Drosophila melanogaster: one gene and its partners. The protein of the gene in region 2 interacts with the protein of the main gene of each other region in a pairwise test. Each region holds a gene or a part of one and is shown on either strand. Other genes may lie near its edges.

The links.
Region 1: the proteins of CCT5 (region 2) and coil interact in a two-hybrid assay, tested with the Drosophila melanogaster proteins (one large-scale study listed by BioGRID).
Region 3: the proteins of CCT5 (region 2) and CG7115 interact in a two-hybrid assay, tested with the Drosophila melanogaster proteins (one large-scale study listed by BioGRID).

Annotation. Positions count from the first base shown.
Region 1 is NT_033778.4:8,123,265-8,128,846, forward strand, and holds coil (coilin), read right to left. Parts: upstream 3,979-5,582; 5' UTR 3,936-3,978; coding exon 3,801-3,935; intron 3,746-3,800; coding exon 3,660-3,745; intron 3,606-3,659; coding exon 2,269-3,605; intron 2,210-2,268; coding exon 2,003-2,209; intron 1,946-2,002; coding exon 1,806-1,945; 3' UTR 1,717-1,805; downstream 1-1,716. Other genes in the region: Nup50 (nucleoporin 50kD), read left to right, coding at 1-99, 156-1,285, 1,346-1,684; Socs44A (suppressor of cytokine signaling at 44A), read left to right, coding at 4,441-4,997, 5,060-5,531. UniProt on the Drosophila melanogaster protein: Component of nuclear coiled bodies, also known as Cajal bodies or CBs, which are involved in the modification and assembly of nucleoplasmic snRNPs. Required for Cajal body formation.
Region 2 is NT_033778.4:12,171,795-12,178,988, reverse strand, and holds CCT5 (chaperonin containing TCP1 subunit 5), read right to left. Parts: upstream 4,188-7,194; 5' UTR 4,069-4,187; coding exon 3,961-4,068; intron 3,894-3,960; exon of another isoform or gene 3,879-3,893; coding exon of another isoform or gene 3,861-3,878; intron 3,253-3,860; coding exon 2,271-3,252; intron 2,212-2,270; coding exon 1,673-2,211; 3' UTR 1,473-1,672; downstream 1-1,472. Other genes in the region: EndoG (endonuclease G), read left to right, coding at 516-1,448.
Region 3 is NT_033779.5:7,819,621-7,827,066, forward strand, and holds CG7115 (uncharacterized protein), read left to right. Parts: upstream 1-1,914; 5' UTR 1,915-2,436; intron 2,437-3,021; 5' UTR 3,022-3,103; coding exon 3,104-3,480; intron 3,481-3,831; coding exon 3,832-4,408; intron 4,409-4,467; coding exon 4,468-4,731; intron 4,732-4,807; coding exon 4,808-4,860; intron 4,861-4,959; coding exon 4,960-5,263; 3' UTR 5,264-5,730; downstream 5,731-7,446. Other genes in the region: LanB1, read left to right, coding at 1-770; Rack1 (receptor of activated protein kinase C 1), read right to left, coding at 6,081-6,716, 7,150-7,361, 7,441-7,446.

The DNA.
Region 1 (5,582 bases), 4.0 Mb from region 2:
AGGCGCGCCGCAAGATTGCCGGTGGATCGTCCGCCGCTGAAGAGGATGGCGCCGAAGAAAAGACTGCAGAGCCCAAAAGTGTGTTCAGTGGCTTTTCCGGTAAGCTATCAAATCCATGCAGACCTGAGGGACTTGCTCACTCCGATTGCTTTTAGGTTTCGGCAAGCCGGCTGCGAGCCCAGCCGCGGGTTCGCCTTTCTCCTTCCTGGCCAATGTGACGGCACCAGCCACGACCTCTAGCAGCGAGCCAAAAAAGTCTGCATTCTCGTTCGGGTTCAGCTCCAGTTCCAGTTCGGCCGATCGGCCTGTCAGCACTAGCATTTGCGGCACCGCCAGCACCAGCAGCACGGCCCCCTCTCCTTTGCCGGCCAAGGAATCAACAAGTACCGTCGATGGCGCCAAGCCGACCACCTCGATATTTGGCAACATATCAGCTGCCAAGAAGGAGAGTAGCGAGGCCAAAACCAGCAGCAGCAGCACTAGCCTCACATCCACCATGGAGACCTCCGAGTACCGTGAAAGCGTTGCTGACCTAAATCGGTCCGTCATAAAATTCCTGCAGGACCAAATGGGCAAAAGTCCCTACTGCATACTGACTCCAGTGTTTAAGAACTATGATGAGCATCTAAAGGATCTGCAAGACGAGGAGAGCGCCAGAACGAACTCCACGAAATCCAAAACGGCACAAGCTCGTTCTCAAGAACCAGTTGCAAAGGTGTCCCGTGCATCGTCGCCACCAAAAGCGGCTACTACGTTTACGTTTGGCAAGCCCAGCGCGCCAATAGGCGCCAGCGTATCGCCCTTAGCCAAGAAACCCAACTGCACCATAACCAGTGGTGGAACAACCACCACGACCGCAACACCACTGGTCTCCTTCGGCAGTACGGCATCGTTCACTGCGCCAGTGCCGTCCTCCTCCAGTATCTTCAGTTTGACAGCAAAACCCACTGGAGAAGCCAAATCCGATGATACCCCTAAGTCCAGCATTTTTAGCTTTGGAGCAAAGGATACGACCACTAAAAAGGATGAGCCTAACTTCTCGGCACCGAAGACCAATGGCTTTTCCTTCGGACTGAAAAGTAACAACGACGACAAGCCAAGCACCTCGTTGTTTGCGGGTTTCGGAAAAGCGCCTGGAGGAGCAGGAGACGGCGCAAAGGGCTTTTCCTTCACCAACAGTGCCACGCCCTTCTCTCTCGGAAACATTCATCCGCCAGCTGCAGCGGCAGCGCCTGCGGAGGAGGAAAAAGAAGAGGATACGCCCCCAAAAGTCGAGTTTAAACAGGTGATGATAAAAGAATTTTCTTTTCGAAGGGAAAGATAATATAACTTCTACTCCAAACAGGTTGTGGAGGATGACGCTATATACTCCAAGCGGTGTAAGGTGTTCATTAAGAAAGACAAGGACTTTGGCGATCGTGGCGTGGGCACGTTGTACTTGAAACCTGTCAAGGACTCCGAAAAGATCCAACTGTTAGTCCGCGCCGACACCAATCTGGGCAACATCTTGGTCAACCTTATTCTTAGCAAGGGTATACCTTGCCAGCGCATGGGCAAGAACAATGTGCTGATGGTCTGCGTGCCCACGCCAGAGGACTCCAAGGCCACATCGCTGTTGCTACGCGTAAAGACCGGTGACGAAGCCGACGACTTGCTGGAGAAGATCAAGGAGCACATCAAGTAGAGGATAGACAACTAACATGAATTCGTACATATAGATGTTGTTTAATCGTTTGTATTTTAAAAGCTATAAATGTACGAAACCCTGGAAATAGAACTCAAGAATGTACACACAAAAATGATAATCAGTCAATTGTGGCTACAATGATTTTGGCTTCAAGCATATCTTTGAGATGAATACTTAAAGTTCGCACATCCTCAGAAGACTCGTCCAACCCACTCATATAATATTGACGCAACATGCGACCGATTTCGGGGGGATAAGCTAAAAATTTTAACGAGATCAGTTTCGGGTATACAATTTAAATTGATAGTCGCTTACTTATTGTTTCCACTGTGACAATTTTGGTGCGCCGGTTAACGTAAGTGCACCTCCCGGCGACAAATTCGGTTGTGCCAGAATTGGCGTTTCCCTTAATCTTCAGCAGTTTAAATATAACCGTATCGCCCCTGGACGGCAGGCTATTGAGTGGAGTTGCAGTCCGCAGTAGGTCCCTTATAATATCCAAAGATTGCCTATTTTCTACTACTAAGATGTCAAGGGCACTCATAAGCATACATCTACCATTTAAATGCCTCGTATCTCACCTGGAATCGGTTCAATATCAGAGTCGCCGTATGAAACGTCGATATTGGAGTCGTCTACCAACATCACATCGTCGTCGGAATCGGATACTAGTTGTTCCTCAAAAATGGGCACTGTTACCGTTTTAACATCCTTCGAATCAACGTTATTTTTAATCGGAGATGCACTTCCGTCATCTGGCAAAATTTTTTCGACTTTGGGTGTTTTTTCCATAGATGTGTTGTTCTGTAGAAATGACTCAGTAAGTTCAAGTGGATTAGTTGCTTCAGCTTCGGACGGAAGAGTGGTCTCAGCTTCAGTCGAATTGTCCAGATAAGCGGATTCAACTGCTCCTATGGCCCCCGGAAGAGTGGTTGATGTTTCAATGATGTCTTCGCAAAGAGGTGCAACTGCTCTCTTTATACCTTCTGAAACATTTTTTTTATCCTTTACATCTGGTAATTCTTCGTCGTGCAAAATTTCGTAGGATTTAGGCTTTAAGGTTGAATCCTTCCCATTGCTTGGGAATTGTTTAGCCGTATCATCACTCTTAGCTCCTTTCTGCAGCAAAAAACGAGGACTGATGGGCTTAAGTTTTTTATATTCCAGAATTTCAATTTGTTGTTTTTTAGTGGGAAATTGAAATATGCGCGGAACATTAAAGGGCATCTCCAAGAGAGGGGAGCGGAACGAAATCGATAGGAGGCTAGCAGCAATGCCAGGACTCTTCTCAATTTGGTCCCCTGCTTTCAGTTGAGATAGTTTATCCGGAATTTTGTTGGACTCCAAGTGTGTTTTGTCCTGTTGCTCCTCTCGAGTTTCGTTTTCCTTCGTTACCACACCAGATTTTTCTGATAGAATGTCAGGCGATGTCTCTTGATTCTTGCTTTCTGACATTTTACCCTCCTTGAGCGTGCATCGAGAAATACTCTTAGGAGCAGGTTCATTCTCTACCTGGTCAGATGCCTCGGGCGATTTGGTCGGTTTCTTGTTTTTGGATTTATTTTTAATCTGAGGAGCAGATTCCTTGTTCTCTGTCTCGATGTTCGCTGACATGTTAGAAACTTCTGTCTGAGTTTCAGGGGCCTTTGGAGTGCCTTTGTTTGTCAAGAGCTTTGATTGTACAGAAGGTCCAGGAGCCATATCTAGCAACTCCTTCTTTCTCACACGAGATGGGTTTTCTGCAATATTTATCCATTCTGAGTTGTTCTGGTTCTTGGAGCGCTTTGAAGGTCGGAGGGGAGTGGAGGCGGTTAGGTGAACCTGTTCCTCGACGGATCGATTCTTGCGCTTTTTACTGGATTTTACAGGAGCAGGGCTCACAAAGGTATCACTATCGTGGCTGGCAAACCGAAAGGCTCTGCAAGGGATGAATATGCTCAAGTAGATCGTAAAAAGAAATAAGCTCACCTACTTGAGTCCTTCGGCAGAGTTCAACACTTTGATAGACTCCCTCGGGGGCAGATAGCATCCATCTGAGGTGAGCAGACTAATGTCCTTCTGTTTGAATGCAATTTATTTAGAATTAGCAGTTAGAGATTCTTAAAAATCTTGCCAAGCTGAAGAGGTTTTGTATGTGGTCCTGGAGGTCCTTGATGTTGTTCCATGCTGCATCGATGAAAACCAACGAATTTCGTCGTTCGTCCTTGAAAAAGTTTGATAGATCCACCTTCATGCTGGAGTGTTGCATTTTTGACTTAGTTTTCTTATGATTAAAATGATTTTAAATGTGCTAGAGATGGAAGTATGTTCGATTTCGTTATCGTTAAATCGATGTGTTTAAATTTCTGTCAAATTAATGTCATATTTTTTGTAGCGATTTATAAAAATAAAGCTTATTTGAATGACAAACTACATTAATATTAAAAAATTGCAATATGGAAAACAATATATTTAAGTCAACGAGATTTTACTTGAAATAATTTAAGTTAGTTTTAAAAATGCCTAAAGCAGAGGGCTGTAATAATGGATAAATTAAAGCTTTGCCTTGCAGAGAATTTAATTTTTTAAACTCCCCTATGTTATCGATAGCATTTACCAGCTACGCACGACCGATAGCGATAAGACAGTTCTTGTGTACAACGAAAACAAATAGTTCTTATCAATAAAGTTAGGCATTGATCACGGCTCCGAATTAGATCAATGATGTAATTCCACCACGAGGAAGCTCCGATCCGATCCGATTCCACTCCAAAATGAGCCACGGCGACCAGAGTCAAAACCAGAGCAGCCAGCGGAGCCAGGCGCTCACTGGCGGTGGTGACTCCCCGAGGGACAGGGAGAAGGAAAAGAAGGGCTGGTTCCACTCGCTGACCAGGCGCAAGAAGTCCGACTCGGCGCTGGCCGTGACTGCATCCGCCGCCGTCTCCACCAGTGGATCGCAGAACAACAACAACGAAGTGTGCGTCCTTGAGGCAGCGGACTCTTCCATGGCCAGCTGCAGCAATGGGGGCACGGGCACAGGAACTCTGCGCAGAAGGCGGGACAAGGACAAGCGAAACGTGTTTGCCAGACTACGAAGGAAGGTGGGCCAAGGGCTCAGCTCCCTGCGAAACTGGCACTCCATGGGCGACTGCGACGACGGCGGAACTACTGATGCCACCTACGAGTTCCTTACGCCGGCCATCTGTCCGGAACCCACGCTACCATTCACACACGACTACTTGCGCTTTATCCGGAAGAAATGGCTTGAGCGCGAGGACGCCCACTCGCCCAACCAGATCATGTACAAGGCCTGCTCCGAGATGCTCAAGTAAGCGCCGTGTTTCTCCGTCCATCAACGATCGATGACTCATGCCCTTTGTTTGTTTTTAGCCAAGTGTGGTACTGGGGTGAGATCTCCAGGCGCGATTCGCAGCGGCAGTTGAGTGACAAGCCGACTGGGTCGTTTCTAGTCCGCGACTCGGAAACCAGCGGATCCCAATTCACGCTCAGCTTTCGGATTGTGAACGTAACCCTGCATTATCGACTGGAATATCGCGACAATTTTTGGCACTTCGAGGAACTTAAGTACGAGTCCATTGTCGAGATGATCGAAGATATCTTGCACCGCTGCACCAACGACAACTTTGTGTGCTTTGTGAAGGTTCCCAACGAGATGCAGCCACCGTTTCCAGTGATCCTCAAGTACCCGTTGAGCCGGTACTCCAACATGCCCAAGCTGCAGGACTTATGCCGCCGTGTTCTGCAGCGCCAGATGTCTCGCGAACAGCTGGCCCAGTTGCCAGTGCCGGCGCAGATGCTGGAGTACTTGTCGGTGGAGCGGGAGCTGGTCTTCCAGAGTTAGGCAACCGCCGCCCGCCGTCGAGAAGCCGCTGGTCAAAGCTTTAACACTGAA
Region 2 (7,194 bases):
GCTAAATTTTATAAATTGATGGTCACACTTTTCCTTTTAAGTCGGGGATCGGTTATCGAATAAATTTTAAAACATGGCAGCGCCCACTAAGTTATTTGATTTTAAACGCGAATTTCTTACAACCTGCTACACGCCGAGTGTGTATTAGAGCACATAAGACGAGGGGATATCCAGCCCTGGAATTTTGAACTGCCACGACGAGTTATTCGAGCTCGGATATCTTGCTGTTCACGAAGCCCATCTATCTATATGGAATTGGTAAGTACCACCATTTGCGACTTGGGCTACGGTTAAAGCTCACACGTCGCCTTTTTAAGTTATTAATACATTAATGAAATATACATAGTATACTTACTTATTTTCCCAAGCAAATTTAGCAATCCGTGCATATATTTATGTCTTTCACTGTAGTTCGTTCGACCACTTTAAACTGTGGTCACACTAAAGTACCTGAATTGTGCAATAGCGGTCGCTATCTGGTCTTTTTGTCCAGATTTTTAAATAAAACTGCCAAAATGAGTGCTCCTCGAGTGGGTGGCGTATTAGCTTTGGGTGCCACCGCCCTGGGCGCCTTTTATCTGGGCACCCACGTGGAACGCGAACGCCAGCACAATGGCTCCACAAGTGGCCTTCCGCGGCTGCCTGGTCTGCCCACCTTTGGAACTGTTTCGGCTGCCAGTTTGATTCCCGCCCAAGAGAACAATGTAAGCTTGACGGCAACTCCGTCTCGGATCGGACAGATCATGAAGTATGGATTTCCCGGACTCGATCACGTGCGCTCCCATTCGGACTACGTGCTGTCTTACGATCGGAGGAACCGGGTGCCCCACTGGGTGTTCGAGCACCTTACGGCAGAGTCGGTGGCGAAGAACGATGCCGTGGACAGATCGAAGTGCGATTTCAAGCAGGACGAGAGCATCCATCCGTTCTTCAGGTCACAGAACACGGACTACCGACGATCGGGCTATGATCGCGGGCACATGGCCGCCGCTGGAAATCACCGACTGCACCAGAAGCACTGCGACGAAACCTTCTACCTATCGAACATGGCGCCACAGGTGGGCCAGGGCTTCAACCGGGATGCCTGGAACACGCTGGAGGCACACGTGCGCAGACTGACCAAGACCTACTCCAATGTGTACGTCTGTACGGGTCCACTGTACCTACCGCACAAGGAGGACGATGGGAAATCGTATGTCAAGTACGAGGTCATCGGCGCCAACACCGTGGCTGTTCCCACCCACTTCTACAAGGTTATTGTGGGCGAGTCCGCGGACCACAAACTCCACATGGAGTCGTACGTGATGCCCAATCAGGTGATCAGCAACGACACTCCCATCAGTGTGTTTCAGGTGCCGCCAGAGAGCGTGGAACGCTCGGCGGGATTGCTCTTCTTCGATCAAATCAATCGCAAGCAGCTAACCACCATCAATGGCAAGAAAGTCTAGTCGATGTCTTAGTTTCGTTTTAGTGTATTTGAACAGGGATAGCCCCTTGTTTAATGTAATTTTCTTCTTTTCCAAAGAACTTGTGGATTAATAAAATTAAACAATTAATACAGATGTACATAGAGATGAGGCTTGACGCGGGTGTTGTTCGTGAAGAGATAGCGAAGCGTGGGGATGTGAATCTGAAACTAGATCTGATGTATGATGCTGCTGCTGGGCGGTCGTTACATGCCGCCTTCGTTCTTGGAGCGCACGTCGTCGATCTTGAGTATCATCTTGACGAGCTGCGTGGAGAGCAGAATCTGCTGCTTCTTCGAGTGCAGCGACTCCACCACGTTATGGCTCTTCATGTCCGAATCACCCGACAGCATGCAGTCGACACCCAGGCTGGACTTCTTCTCGGCCACCTGTCTGGCCTTCAGCTCCGACAACGTCTCGATGGGATGCAGGCCGCTGTTCTCCGCCAGAGCCAGCGGAATGCTCTCCAGGGCCACGGAGAAGGCGCGGAAGGCGTACTGCTCCAGCGTGGACAGTTGGTCGGCCTCCTTGGCCACAGCCAACGAGCAGCTAATCTCGGCAGCTCCACCACCGTAAACAATACGCGAGTCCTTCACAAGCGAACGCACCACGCAGATGGCATCGTGAATCGATCGCTTAGCCTCCGCAATGATCATGGCGTTACCTCCACGCAAGAAGATGGTCACAGCCTTGGAGTTTTTGCACTCCTCGATGACCAGCATCTTGTCCTTGGATGTTCCGAATGCTGAAAGAATCAAAATCACTTAGGAATGAACTAAATCCGACTATAAAATGAAAACCTACCCATTTCGCGAACGAGTCCCGCAACACCTAGTTTCTCAGGCGTGAGCTCTTCGAAACGCGGCACGATGCGTCCACCGGTGGCGATGGCAATCAGCTCGATCTCCGGACCGCCAACCCAGCGCACGGCGGGCAGCTCCTGCTGAAGCAACAGGTGGTTGGCCTCATCATCGAAGCCCCACTGGCAGATGGCAAGGGTGGCGCCGGCGTCCTTCACCTGCTTGACCATCTGGGTGAACTTCTCCTGCTCGTACTCGCGCAGCGCCCTGTAGTCTTCCGCGGAGGTAACATCGAGCTTATGCTTGGTCTTTGGCTTCGGGGGCTCAAACGGGCAGGTGAGAATGGCCAGCTTGACGTTCCTTAGCTCCTTGGGCATCTGCGAATGGCTGAGGGTCTTGTCAACGATGACACCCTTCACCAGCATCGAGTCCTCCATGCGACCGCCCACCTTGGTCTCGATCTTGATGAGCTCGAAGTTCACGTCCTTCTTCTCAATGTCGGCCACATTCAGCACAGCATCCACAGCCATTTCGGCCATCTGACGATGGCACTTGTTCACGATCTTGCTGCCCAGCGTGGTCATGGCGATCTGGATAAGTGGCTCCTTGTTCTTCGGGTCCACGGGGAAGGGTTGGGCGATCGCGTCCAGCTGCTTGATGGCGCACTGGGCGGCCAATTCAAAGCCATCGGCGATGCGAATGGGATGAATGCCCCTGTCGATCAGTCCCTCGGCCTGCTCCAAGAGTGCTCCGGCCAGCACGACAACGCCGGTGGTTCCATCGCCGATCTCGTCGTCCTGTGACTGCGACAGCTGCACCATCAGCTTGGCAATCTCGTGGTCAACCTCCATCAGCTTCATGATGGTGGCGCCATCGTTGGTCACAGTCACGTCGCCGTCGGGACTGACCATGATCTTGTCCAGACCCTTGGGACCCAGAGAGGTCTTCAGGGTGGACGCGATCTGGCGGGCGGCCATAATGTGCGTCTGTTGGAGCAAAATGGATAATTTAGTAAGTACTTAGGGTAGACATTACAATTATTTATCAGTAAGATGGTGAATGGAAATTAGATCTTTCTCAAGCGCAACTGCTTCTAAATCAAATGTTAAGATTTACTTTCAAATTTAAAGTTTAAATCGACGTGGTCTAAATTGATATTCTAGTTGGATTCTAGAATATACCAATAACTGAATGAAGACTAGGATGGACATGTGTATACAGTAATTTTCATACAAAAGCAATAGAATCTGCATCTGCAGATGGAATTATTGGGTTCTTTAAGCATTTCAGTGACTTTTTATCCGGACTTCCAAACTTTTCGCAGTGCGCGTGACTCAGCCGGCAATGAAAGAAAAACATCTGGGCGCCGTTTTAACCTCAAAATCGGCCAGACAAATTGTTTTTCCAAAATGCATTGTTTATGAGTGCAACTAAAGAATGAAAGCTTGTTCGGAGTAATAGCTCACTACCAAAGAAGGATATATTCAGCATATTATTAAATATTAGCAACAAAAAGACTATTTAAAACCGGCTTTTTAGAACATCTGGAATGTTCCGCAGACGATGCGTCACTCCTGTGACTTAGTGAGCACACCAATTGCACGCAGGGCATTTGCCTACGAATCTGATCCTGACCAGCTCGTCCAGGATGCGGAATACAACGCCAGGAGATGGTGAATCGCAGTTTCATTTACCTTTATGGCATCTGTTCCTGTGATGCGCTTCTGGCGCTCCTGGTCGCGCAGGATGATGAAAGGCCGACCATATTCGTCGAACGCGAACGTACCGGGAAAGGCGCTCATGGTTTTTTAGATGAAAGGATGACGGATTCGCACGTTTTTCCAAGATTTAATTCCCGAGTTTATTTTATTCCAACGAACGAACGAACGACTGATCCTAAATTTGACCAAACGCGTTGTGACTAGGGTTGCGAGAACGACCAGAATGTTATCGATATTTTCTAATATTTTTTTGATTATTGTAAATTAGTAATTGGGATATTCTCTTAGATGTTAAAGGCTTTATTTAAGTTGTACTTAAATTTCATGGATTTGTCAATCTGACAGCTGTTAATTATTTAAAACTGTCACGTTACTTTATAGCATAACTGTAATTATTTACCATTACGATATTCATATCTCGACATTAGCCTAATTGGATCGTTTCTTATGTTTTTTAAGTTAATCAATATTAACAATTAATGAGACCCGCTTAGGAAATCGACGTAAAACTTCTATACTATATCCTCAAGTTATTTACAATTGTAAAAGCAGAAAAGGTACGCCTGTATAAAATTGGAACACGTAAATTAGATTTAAGAATCCCTTAAAGAAGTAACTGTTGTTTGTGACAATAGGTTGCTGGAGCTTGAACCTAGTGTGACCAAACTTAGCCGGCCAGAGATGTACCGAAAAAGTCGGCGAGAAACGTATAAAAGGAGTAGCACGTTGGTATTTTCTTCAGTTTTATACTAACTTTTGACGACATCAGATCACAAATTGCTGGGAGGTTTGCACCCCAATCAAAGCAAGTTTTACAACAAAAGTCAATTTTCGTTCGACTCGATTTCTTCTCAGTGCGTTAAGTTGCAACCATTAAGTGTGAAAATGCCATCCAATATGAATAATAAACTGTAAGTAATGGTGTCCAAAGCGGTTGCCATACACGACGACAAAAAGTGCAAAGTCGATTTTGTAGTGCGAAGAATAAAAAAAAGCAAAAGAGAAATGAAATGAAAATAGTGCGAGGGAGTCCACGACTCCTTTCCTTTCCAATTGGTGGCAAGTAGGCTTGGTTGTAATGGTTTGTAGTGCAATAGTTAAGTGTAGTATAAGTGTAACCTGCTAACAAATCGGGTAACGGTGTTGGTTGATTTTCTCACGTACGCATACGCACATACGCACACATGTAAACATGTGAAGCTGTGTGGGTCAGTATGTTTTGTTTTACTGTAAAATCATCTGTGACGCACACAGAGGTAAAAACAATGAGAACGACGGAAATAAATAATGGAAATTGTGGCCATGTATGTGTAGTGGCACGATTCGTAAGTAAAGTAATTAATTGATTTCACCGGAGATATATGAAATTTAATTTTTTACTTTATTATGCCTTATTTATTTACTGTTTTGTCTTATGTTCAAGATGGCCGCCTGCAGCGTTGCCACGTTCTTTGCGCTGCTTTAGTAGTTTCGTTGATTGTAACCACAAGTCTATAACAATAATCCGCTTACATAAATGCTTTATTGATACTTCTGTTTGCAGGAAATTTTTATTAATTAATTATCGCAACCGACACATCATGTTTGGGGATCTGGCAACGCTGTGGTCCCTCATTTATTTACAGTTTGAACCTCCTTCCAATTGGAGAACCCATAACATCTGTGTGCGTATGAGTTTTCTCTATTCTTTGTTTACTTGTTTCTCTTCCATCGGAAATGGCATTTGGTAATTTTGCTTTATGCGATCCAATTGGGAAGATACTCGTTAACAACTGGTATTTCTTCCATTACTTTTGAGTCTTTAGCGATTTACCAGCGTTTCGTTTAAGTTCTTCCTCATTTTTTGGGGGGGCATCTTGGGCGGCTTTTATTATGTCATACAACGACAAATACAAACGCACGCACACAGGCATAATAGCTGTAAACAAGGGAAAATTCCACTCGCCATTGCAGTTTCGCGTTGTTTTTGTGCGGCAAGTGATATAGGAGAAAGAGGGATGGATATATGCACTGCATATACATACATATGTGCATATGTATGTAGAAGAGCGATATTGGGTCATCGGCACTTTTCTAGCAGCTTCTTTGGTGCCTCCTTCAACTATTTCTACCCCTTTATCTTATCTCGCGGAACCTCACAAGATCTTATCCCTTATCTCACCATTGTTCTGGTTATAGCATATGTATAATAATTTCCAGTGCTCTTGTTTGCTTTATGACATCTTGCTTTTGTCTAAAAATCCTGCTTGTGTTTGCTTAGTACACTTCGTCTTTTACGATTGTTTTTCCACTGTCGAAAGATTGTACCTGATCCCCCAATATTTGTCCAAGCAGAACGACAAGTTTTGATGTTGATTACACAAGCGCACCAATTACGTTATCTTATCGCCCACTTTTTTTTTATCTGGATCTAATCTGGATAATGATCCAGATCTGCTTTGCTTTTTTCTACTTTAACTGAACTGCATTGCAGTTTCAGGAGGAAGTTGAAAAGTTTTACACATGGTTTTCCTCTTAAAGATATCGTTTACAAATTAATTAGGGTAGTTCTTTGCTTATCGCTTTCGTCACGCCGAAGACACATGATCAACGATGAAAGACCAGCCAAAGTACAAAGTGATTACCGTAAGTTACTACACCAAAATATGGCAACACGTTTTTTTTTTTGGCAAAAATGTGCTCACACAGCTAAGGGCACAAAAATAAAACCTGTGTGAATTAAGATTCTGTTTAACTTCATTAACATGAAATCCTTTTGGTTCTAAATTTGTATACATTTTCTATGGAAACTACCTGGAAAATACCAAAATATCAAAGAGCTTGTTTACACAATTTTTTTTGACTTTGTTAATTGAGCTACAGATATTTGTTATTTGTTTAGACTGAAACATATGGAAAGATTGTCAATCAAAGCTGCAAAAAGCGAAGAAGCCTACGTCAGCAATTATAAAGTCCAGTTTATTGTCGATAAATGGTATTTTTATTAGTATTCGTTTGTAGTTATTGAGATGACCTCTGCTGTTCGTTTACATACTACGTATGTATGTATGTACCTGTATACATATACATATGTATTAAGAATAAAGATAACTCTTCACGTTGATTTCTACCCCGCTTTAGGTCCATACCTCTGCTTATATTAAGCAGACTTTTATTTATGGGACTTATCGCCAATATTATTAGCCATTTTTAGCCATTTATTTCGTT
Region 3 (7,446 bases), on a different chromosome or scaffold from region 2:
TGGACCTGAAACTGGAACCCGAAGAGATTGAGACCCTCGGCGACCAAATCAACAGGGCTGTCTCATCGCTAAAGAATGTTGAAGCCATAATCTACAGGACCAAACCCGATTTGGACAGGGTCAATAATCTGCAGAGCATTGCCAATGCCACCAAGGAGAAGGCCGATAAGATCCTGGACTCTGCCAATTCGGTCGTGGAGAGCCTGGCGGCGGCAGATGAATCCCAGGGTAAAGCCAAGGATGCCATTCAGCAGGCGAACAGTAACATTGAGTTGGCCGGTCAGGATCTGGAGAAGATCGATGAGGAAACGTATTCCGCCGAAGCTCCGGCCAATAACACAGCACAGCAGGTTGAGAAATTGGCCAAGAAAGTGCAGAAACTGCAGAATAACATAATGAAGAACGATCGGGATGCCAAGGAGATAACCAAGGAAGCGGGTAGCGTCAAACTGGAGGCCATGAGGGCTCGCGGAGAGGCCAATAATCTTCAGTCTGCCACAAGTGCCACCAATCAGACCCTCACCGATCGCGCCAGTCGCTCCGAAAATGCCAGGGAAAGGGCCAAGCAGCTGCTCCAGAGGGCCTCCAAACTAACAGTCGATACGAACGCCAAGCTAAAGGATCTGAACGATCTGCAGACCGTCTATCTGAACAAGAACCAACAACTACTGCGATTGCAGGCCGAGATCGGCCCCTTGAACAAGGAGCTCAACGAGCACCTGATTCACATCAAGGAGCGGGGGTCGCACTACAGGCAGTGCTATACGTAGATTGGGAAACGTAAGTAATGCAGTTTTAATACTATTACAAGCAAATAACTAAAATCAGTAATATTTTTTAGATCCATTTGCGTGGCCATCTAAATTGCCATATTCATGAACAAATAAGCAAATTGCGAAATACGAGAATCAAGTAAAGAACTACAAGAACAACTAGGAAGGCGACAGTTATTATGTAACCACTGTTAAGTTACCGTTACGTTTTGTACTCTAAGCGAAAACCAACACTGCAATGTTAATTTTAAAAATTGAGCGAAAGAAATCGATGCCTTCACTTTTAATGTGTACACACTGAGCTAAGTTTTTCTTATACTATCCCTATACCATTTTGTAATGCAATTAATGTAATTAAATAAAACTACTTAAATGTGGAAATGTCTAGCATTTGTTTGGGCTCGATCGGGAGAGGAATGAGATAATGGTCATTTAAATGGAGAGCGACAGGTGAGAGTATTTTTGCAACACAGTTCTATTTCCCAACAATAAATCTTTTTCGCTGAACAAATGCAACTACTTTTAAGTATAATAACAGAAATATATTATTTACAAACGTTGAATAAAACAATATTAATAACGTTGGAAATGAAGCCTAAAAGCTTAATATAGATAAAAAGTATTTAAACAGAAGTTTGTTGGAGTTCAAATATATACAAAAATTCGGCTTATGCTATTTTCACTGTACTTCGATTTCTATACTATTGTATACTTATGCTGCCATAAACATTGCCAATTTATTCCATTTTCCGTTTTGTTTTAGTTCTTCTGCGCGTCGCGTGCGGCTTGTTTTTGTTTTTAATTTTCGTCCAAATAATTTTCCACATTTTTTTTTCGGGGGCCAGAGGTTCTTTTAAAACCGGAAGTTGTTACGAATGGATCACCGTTACAGAAGATCGTTAAGGAGCTCAGCAGGTATTTAATAACAATTAAAAAATTAATAATGCAGTTGGCACAGTTGCAGAGAAGCCCACTTCAAGCACAAAGGTCAAGGTAATGCAAAAAATGCAAAAGTGCTTGAAATCATGCAATTTCTAGTTATCCCTGCCTGCTCGAAAATCACTAAAGTTTTGCATGAAAAGAGTACCCCTGCTGGCTATCGATAAGAGTTATCGCTTCGGCCCCTATCGATATTTCAAAAGTTCATCAATTTCAGCTGAAATCTCAACAAGTGCAAGTTTCGAGCTCTGTTTTAATTAAACACAGACGTGTCGCCGAACAAGTCGGCATTGTTTGGATCGGTTTTCAGGTTGCAGTGCGTGAAAATATATATATATTTTTTATTTATTTATTGCGACATCCGTGCGGCCACTCACACACACAGGCGCGATTGACAGATGTGCGACGTGCATACGTATAAAGAGCACACACTCGCACACACGCACGCAGTGCGGATGTTCTGATTTTATGCAAGAAACTGAGTTTATTTTTAAAATAAGAAGAACATCCGAAAATATAATGCCAACGAAAGGCGACGGGCGAGCGACAAAAGAGCGTTTGTAAGCGCAGAAAAAAGGGACACGGCGAAAAGGAACGGGGACGGACGATAAACCAAAATAACGGGAACATCGGCGGCGGTGGAAAATTCAGAAAATAAGAAAATCAAAACAAAAGCAAAATAAAACGACATCTGACGTGCAGCTTCAAGTGCTTTGCCCCCAGAGTACGTTTTCCCCAAATGGACTGGGTTTTTCATTTTGCGAGCAATCTGCAATCTTTCCCATTCAATTGAGGTCGCGTCGGAATCTGCATAAGTGCATAAAAAAAAATAGTAAAAATTTTAAAAATTCTGAATTCGAAACAAATAATTTCATACAGTTTTCTGAAAAGCTTTTAAAGTTGATCAATATATTGTTACCGTTAAAATTTTTATAAAAAGATATCGTTTTTATTAATAAATTAATCGCATTCATTTTAAATTATTAATCAACAGTGTAATAAACTATTTGCTATAATACTAAAACTTGCGTTCAACTACATATAAAAATAATTTAAAATTTTAACATTATAAAATGTTTTTCGAAATGATCTTAAGCAGAGTTCTTTGAAACCATAAAGTAAATAATGATCTCAGACATCGAAAAATGGGAAATTATATTACTTCCGATTCCGTCCGAGTCTGAGAGAATTTAAACGGGAAAGTCTTGCATATTAAAATGCCCAACCCCTTTGTTGTTTACTTTAATTTCGTTTTTTATTCCTTGCATATACACCCACTGACACCCACATCAACATTTACCGCTGACAGTTTCGCATGCGATTTGCTTGAAACACATTGACAGAGCCGAAATCAAGCGCCAGCAGAGTATACAGATAGCCCGGCATTTCCCATGGACGACGAACTGGAAGACAAGGTGTTCTATCAGACATACGTATCGCACATGAAAATCCTGTCCAAATTTGCGGTGGGCTTCTCGTCCATCAACTCCCCGCTGGCCTACATATGGAAGCTGTGCCGACTGTATGTCCTTCGGCCGGAGGTCATCTTCTGCGGCTTGATCCTCTTCGTCCTGTTGCTCTATTTGCAAGCGGTAGATGTGTGGAGTCGCAGCATCCTGGGACGCATCCAGGCAACCCTCGGTCGCCAGAAGGCCGTCAAGATGATGGAGCTGTCGGCCAGTGCTGGTGATCACCAGAGCTGGGAGGAGATGAAGCAGCAGAGCTCGGCCTTCGCGGTCCTGGGACGCAGGCCAAGAATGGAGGATAGGTTCGTATGAAGTCACAATTCCCAGGGATAAACTATATTGTAGATAGCACTTACATAGTAGCTGAAATATACAAAGATCTGTCACGATCGACAGCATTTTAGGATTTACAAATTGGCTAAGAGTGTTTTTATTAGATTTAAATGATCTATTGAGGAATAAATTCTTGGCAACACTCATTTTCATTCATTAAATAGCATTGCAACACTTTATAGCTATATAAATCTTTTCCATATGTCAAATTTAGACTAGATAATAATAATTTGGGTCTTTAGAAACAACTTAGTGACATCTCTATTCAAATGTACACATTCCAAGAAACTAAAGACTAAAGACTTTTATTTACATCTTAGGTTTATTATCGAGGAGAACATCAACAACAACACTGGTATCTCCTTCTTTGCCGTATTTGACGGTCATGGCGGCGAGTTTGCCGCAGACTTCGCCAAGGATGTGCTGGTGAAGAACATCTACAATAAGATCATCGAGATGTCCAAGCTTCTGAAGACGGAAGGAAATTCCGGAGATTACGATAAGAGTCCCTATTTAGCGCGCAAGCAGAGTCGCAAGGATGCAAACAAGGAGAACACAGAACCGACGGCAGGGGTGATGCGAAAGGATAGTCTAAGGAAGGCCCACAGCACCACGGCGGATTGTAGTGCTATTAAGCAAAAGACAACCGAGGCATCCATTGCCGACATCTACACAGTCCAATTAAACTCGGCGATGAGAGCCAGTGGGAATTTGGGAGCCGCCAAGGATTCCTTCCTCAACAACAACAACAACGGACAGAACGGAGCAGCCAATGCGCCACCTCCAAACTACGAAGCCAAGTGCTACATCGAACACGGACGTATTAACTTTGGTAAACTGATCACGGACGAGATCATGTCGGCCGACTACAAGCTTGTGGAGCAGGCCAAGAGAGCGGTAAGGGAACCTCTTTTTACTTAATCTTAAGAGACAATTCTAACTGATCTTAATTGCAGACCAACATTGCGGGAACCACCGCTCTAATAGCGATAGTTCAGGGCTCAAAGCTGATTGTGGCCAATGTGGGCGACTCCCGCGGAGTCATGTACGACTGGCGTGGAATCGCCATACCGCTTTCATTCGATCACAAGCCGCAGCAAGTGCGAGAACGAAAGAGAATCCACGATGCAGGCGGATTCATCGCCTTCCGAGGCGTTTGGCGTGTGGCCGGGGTGTTGGCCACGTCACGTGCTCTAGGGGACTATCCGCTTAAAGATAAGGTGGGAAAAATGGGATGGTTCCAACGAGTTACTAACGAGGCTAATCTTGACACTATTTTTAACCACACGCTTACAGAATCTGGTGATTGCTACGCCGGACATTTTGACCTTCGAACTAAACGATCACAAGTGAGTGAACAACACTTTGCAACAACAATCCAAACGACCATTTGATAGTTGTAAAGTGCATTACATTAGACCTGTATTTAATGAAATACTTTCTTATAGACCCCATTTTCTGATACTGGCATCCGATGGGCTGTGGGACACGTTCAGCAATGAGGAGGCCTGCACTTTTGCGTTGGAGCATCTGAAAGAGCCGGACTTTGGCGCCAAATCACTTGCCATGGAGTCGTATAAACGTGGCTCCGTGGACAACATCACCGTGCTGGTGATCGTCTTCAAGAACGATGTCTACAAGATTGGCAGCTCAGCGGGAAAAGCGGGAGAAGAATCCCTAAAAGTCCCAGCCAAATCTCAACCAGTTGCGCCTGCAGTTGTGCAACGCTCGAATTCAATCAAAACCAAATGAAAAACGATAGATAAGAGTGCCTGCTAAGAAATGCTCTTCAGCTTTTCTCCTAAAAATTTCCTTCTCCCCAAGAAAAACAAACGAAAGTGCCCGAATTTTTCTAGTTAGGCATTTTGCTAAATACCTTTTGACCTTTTTGTTACTTGTCCAAAGGCAGCGTTCATTCATCCCATTACAGACATGCATACACATTCATCACTCGAAAATGCGTTCATCATTTGTCTTAATATTAAGGTTGTTTGTTAGTCAATGTTGTTTTGTTTAAACAAAATATGTTTGCATCCGCCGCCACATTGCCGTGCACTCCGTTTTTCCAATTCGCACACGAAAATCATCACAGTCACTGACTCAGTCAGGGTAACATCATCACGTAACTATTTATTTAATTTATTTGTTATACGTGTAAAAGAAAACATTTTCTAAATGTCGAAATGTTTTTACGAATAAAACAATGCATACGAAACGAGAACATTTCGTTTTGCTACTTAAATTCAATTTCTAATTGTTTTTCTCAACATTATTCGTTTTGGATTTCAATGAAATGATCTGGTTTGTAGTTTAGGGATTAAAAACATCCACTTTCGATTAAAGTTTATATAAAATGTTTTCTTTATTAACATTTACTTATCTTCTGCCTAAACTAAATTGTCCCACTGTTTATACTATTCCCATCTATCCGGAGAAAACTCTATAGCCCAAAGCCTAAAGTTAAAACTAATTCAGCCGCTACAAGATACACAAATTTCAGTTAAGGACGCTTAAATTTTATTTTTGTTTTAGCTAAACAAATTTGACGCCCGTTACAAAGGTCAGTAGCTTAGTGAGCCGAAACAGACACCTGCCAGACGCGGATGGTGTTGTCGGAGTAGCCGGCGAACAGAGTCTGGCCGTCGGTGGACCAGGCCAGGGACAGGCACTGGGGCTGATCGGCCTTCGACGTGGGCGAAACGACCTCGGGGCGCAGCTCCTCAACGGTCTTCTTGCATGCCAGATCCCAGATCTTGATCGAGGGTCCGTAGGCCACGCACAGCCAGTAGCGGTTGGGCGAGAAGCACAGGGCGTTGATGATGTCGTTGTGCTCCAGAGTGTACAGGTTCTTGCCGTCATTGAGGTCCCACAGCAGGGCCTTGGAGTCCTTGCCACCTGAGGTGCACAGGGAGCCATCGGGCGAGACGGTCACCGTGTTCAGGTAGCCGTTGTGGCCGTGGTGGTTGTTCTTCAACTTGCAGTTAGCCAAGTTCCAGACCTTGACGGTGCGATCCCAGCCGCAGGACACGATGATCGGGTTGGAGTGGTTGGGCGAGAAGCGCACGCACGACACCCAGTCGGTGTGGCCATCCTCCTGGATGGTGAACTTGCACTCAGCCAGGGTGTTCCACAGCTTGATGGTCTTGTCCCGAGAGCCGGACACGATCTGACGGTTATCGGCCGAGAAGGCAACCGACAAAACGTCCTAGAAAGCGAACAAGCATTTGACGATTAGCTAATGGTATTGGTATGGTTTTCATAAAAATAATATATTTACTGGATATTTCACTGACCAACTGAATGGGCATAGTCCCAACTCAATTAGTCAGTGAACGGAATCCAGATGGGTTTCTTGCAACTAATTAGGAATCAATGGGTATCAGAGATTGTTTGCCTACTTACGATGGAGCTTCAAGCAATTTATAGCCGAGACTCGAGCGAAGGGTGAAGCGTACGTCGTACAGATGTCAACCAGTAATTCTGCCTCGCATAGGCGCAATATATATTTTTTCGATTTGTACGCGGCAAAGGCGGGCCTAACCTCACTCCTAACCTTACATTTAGCCTTTTGCCGGTACAGATCGGTTCAAAATCTCAGTTCCCTAAACGAACTAAATGCAATTGGAATCTTATCCCACCTTAGTGTGTCCCTCGAAGCGACGGGTGGTCTTGCCGGCGGCCAAATCCCACAGGCGAAGGGTCTGATCCCAGGATCCGGACAGGGCGTAGTTGCCATCGGAGGAGAGCACCACGTCGCTGATGAAGTGCGAGTGTCCGTAGAGACGCTTCTGGGGGTAGCCGTAGTTGGTGTCCTCGTCGCGGGTCAGCTTCCACACGATCAGGGTCTTGTCTGCGAATCGAGATGGTGGCCATTAATATACGCACGTGCTACCAGATAAATCCGAAGAATTTCAATGGCGATTACTTACCACGGG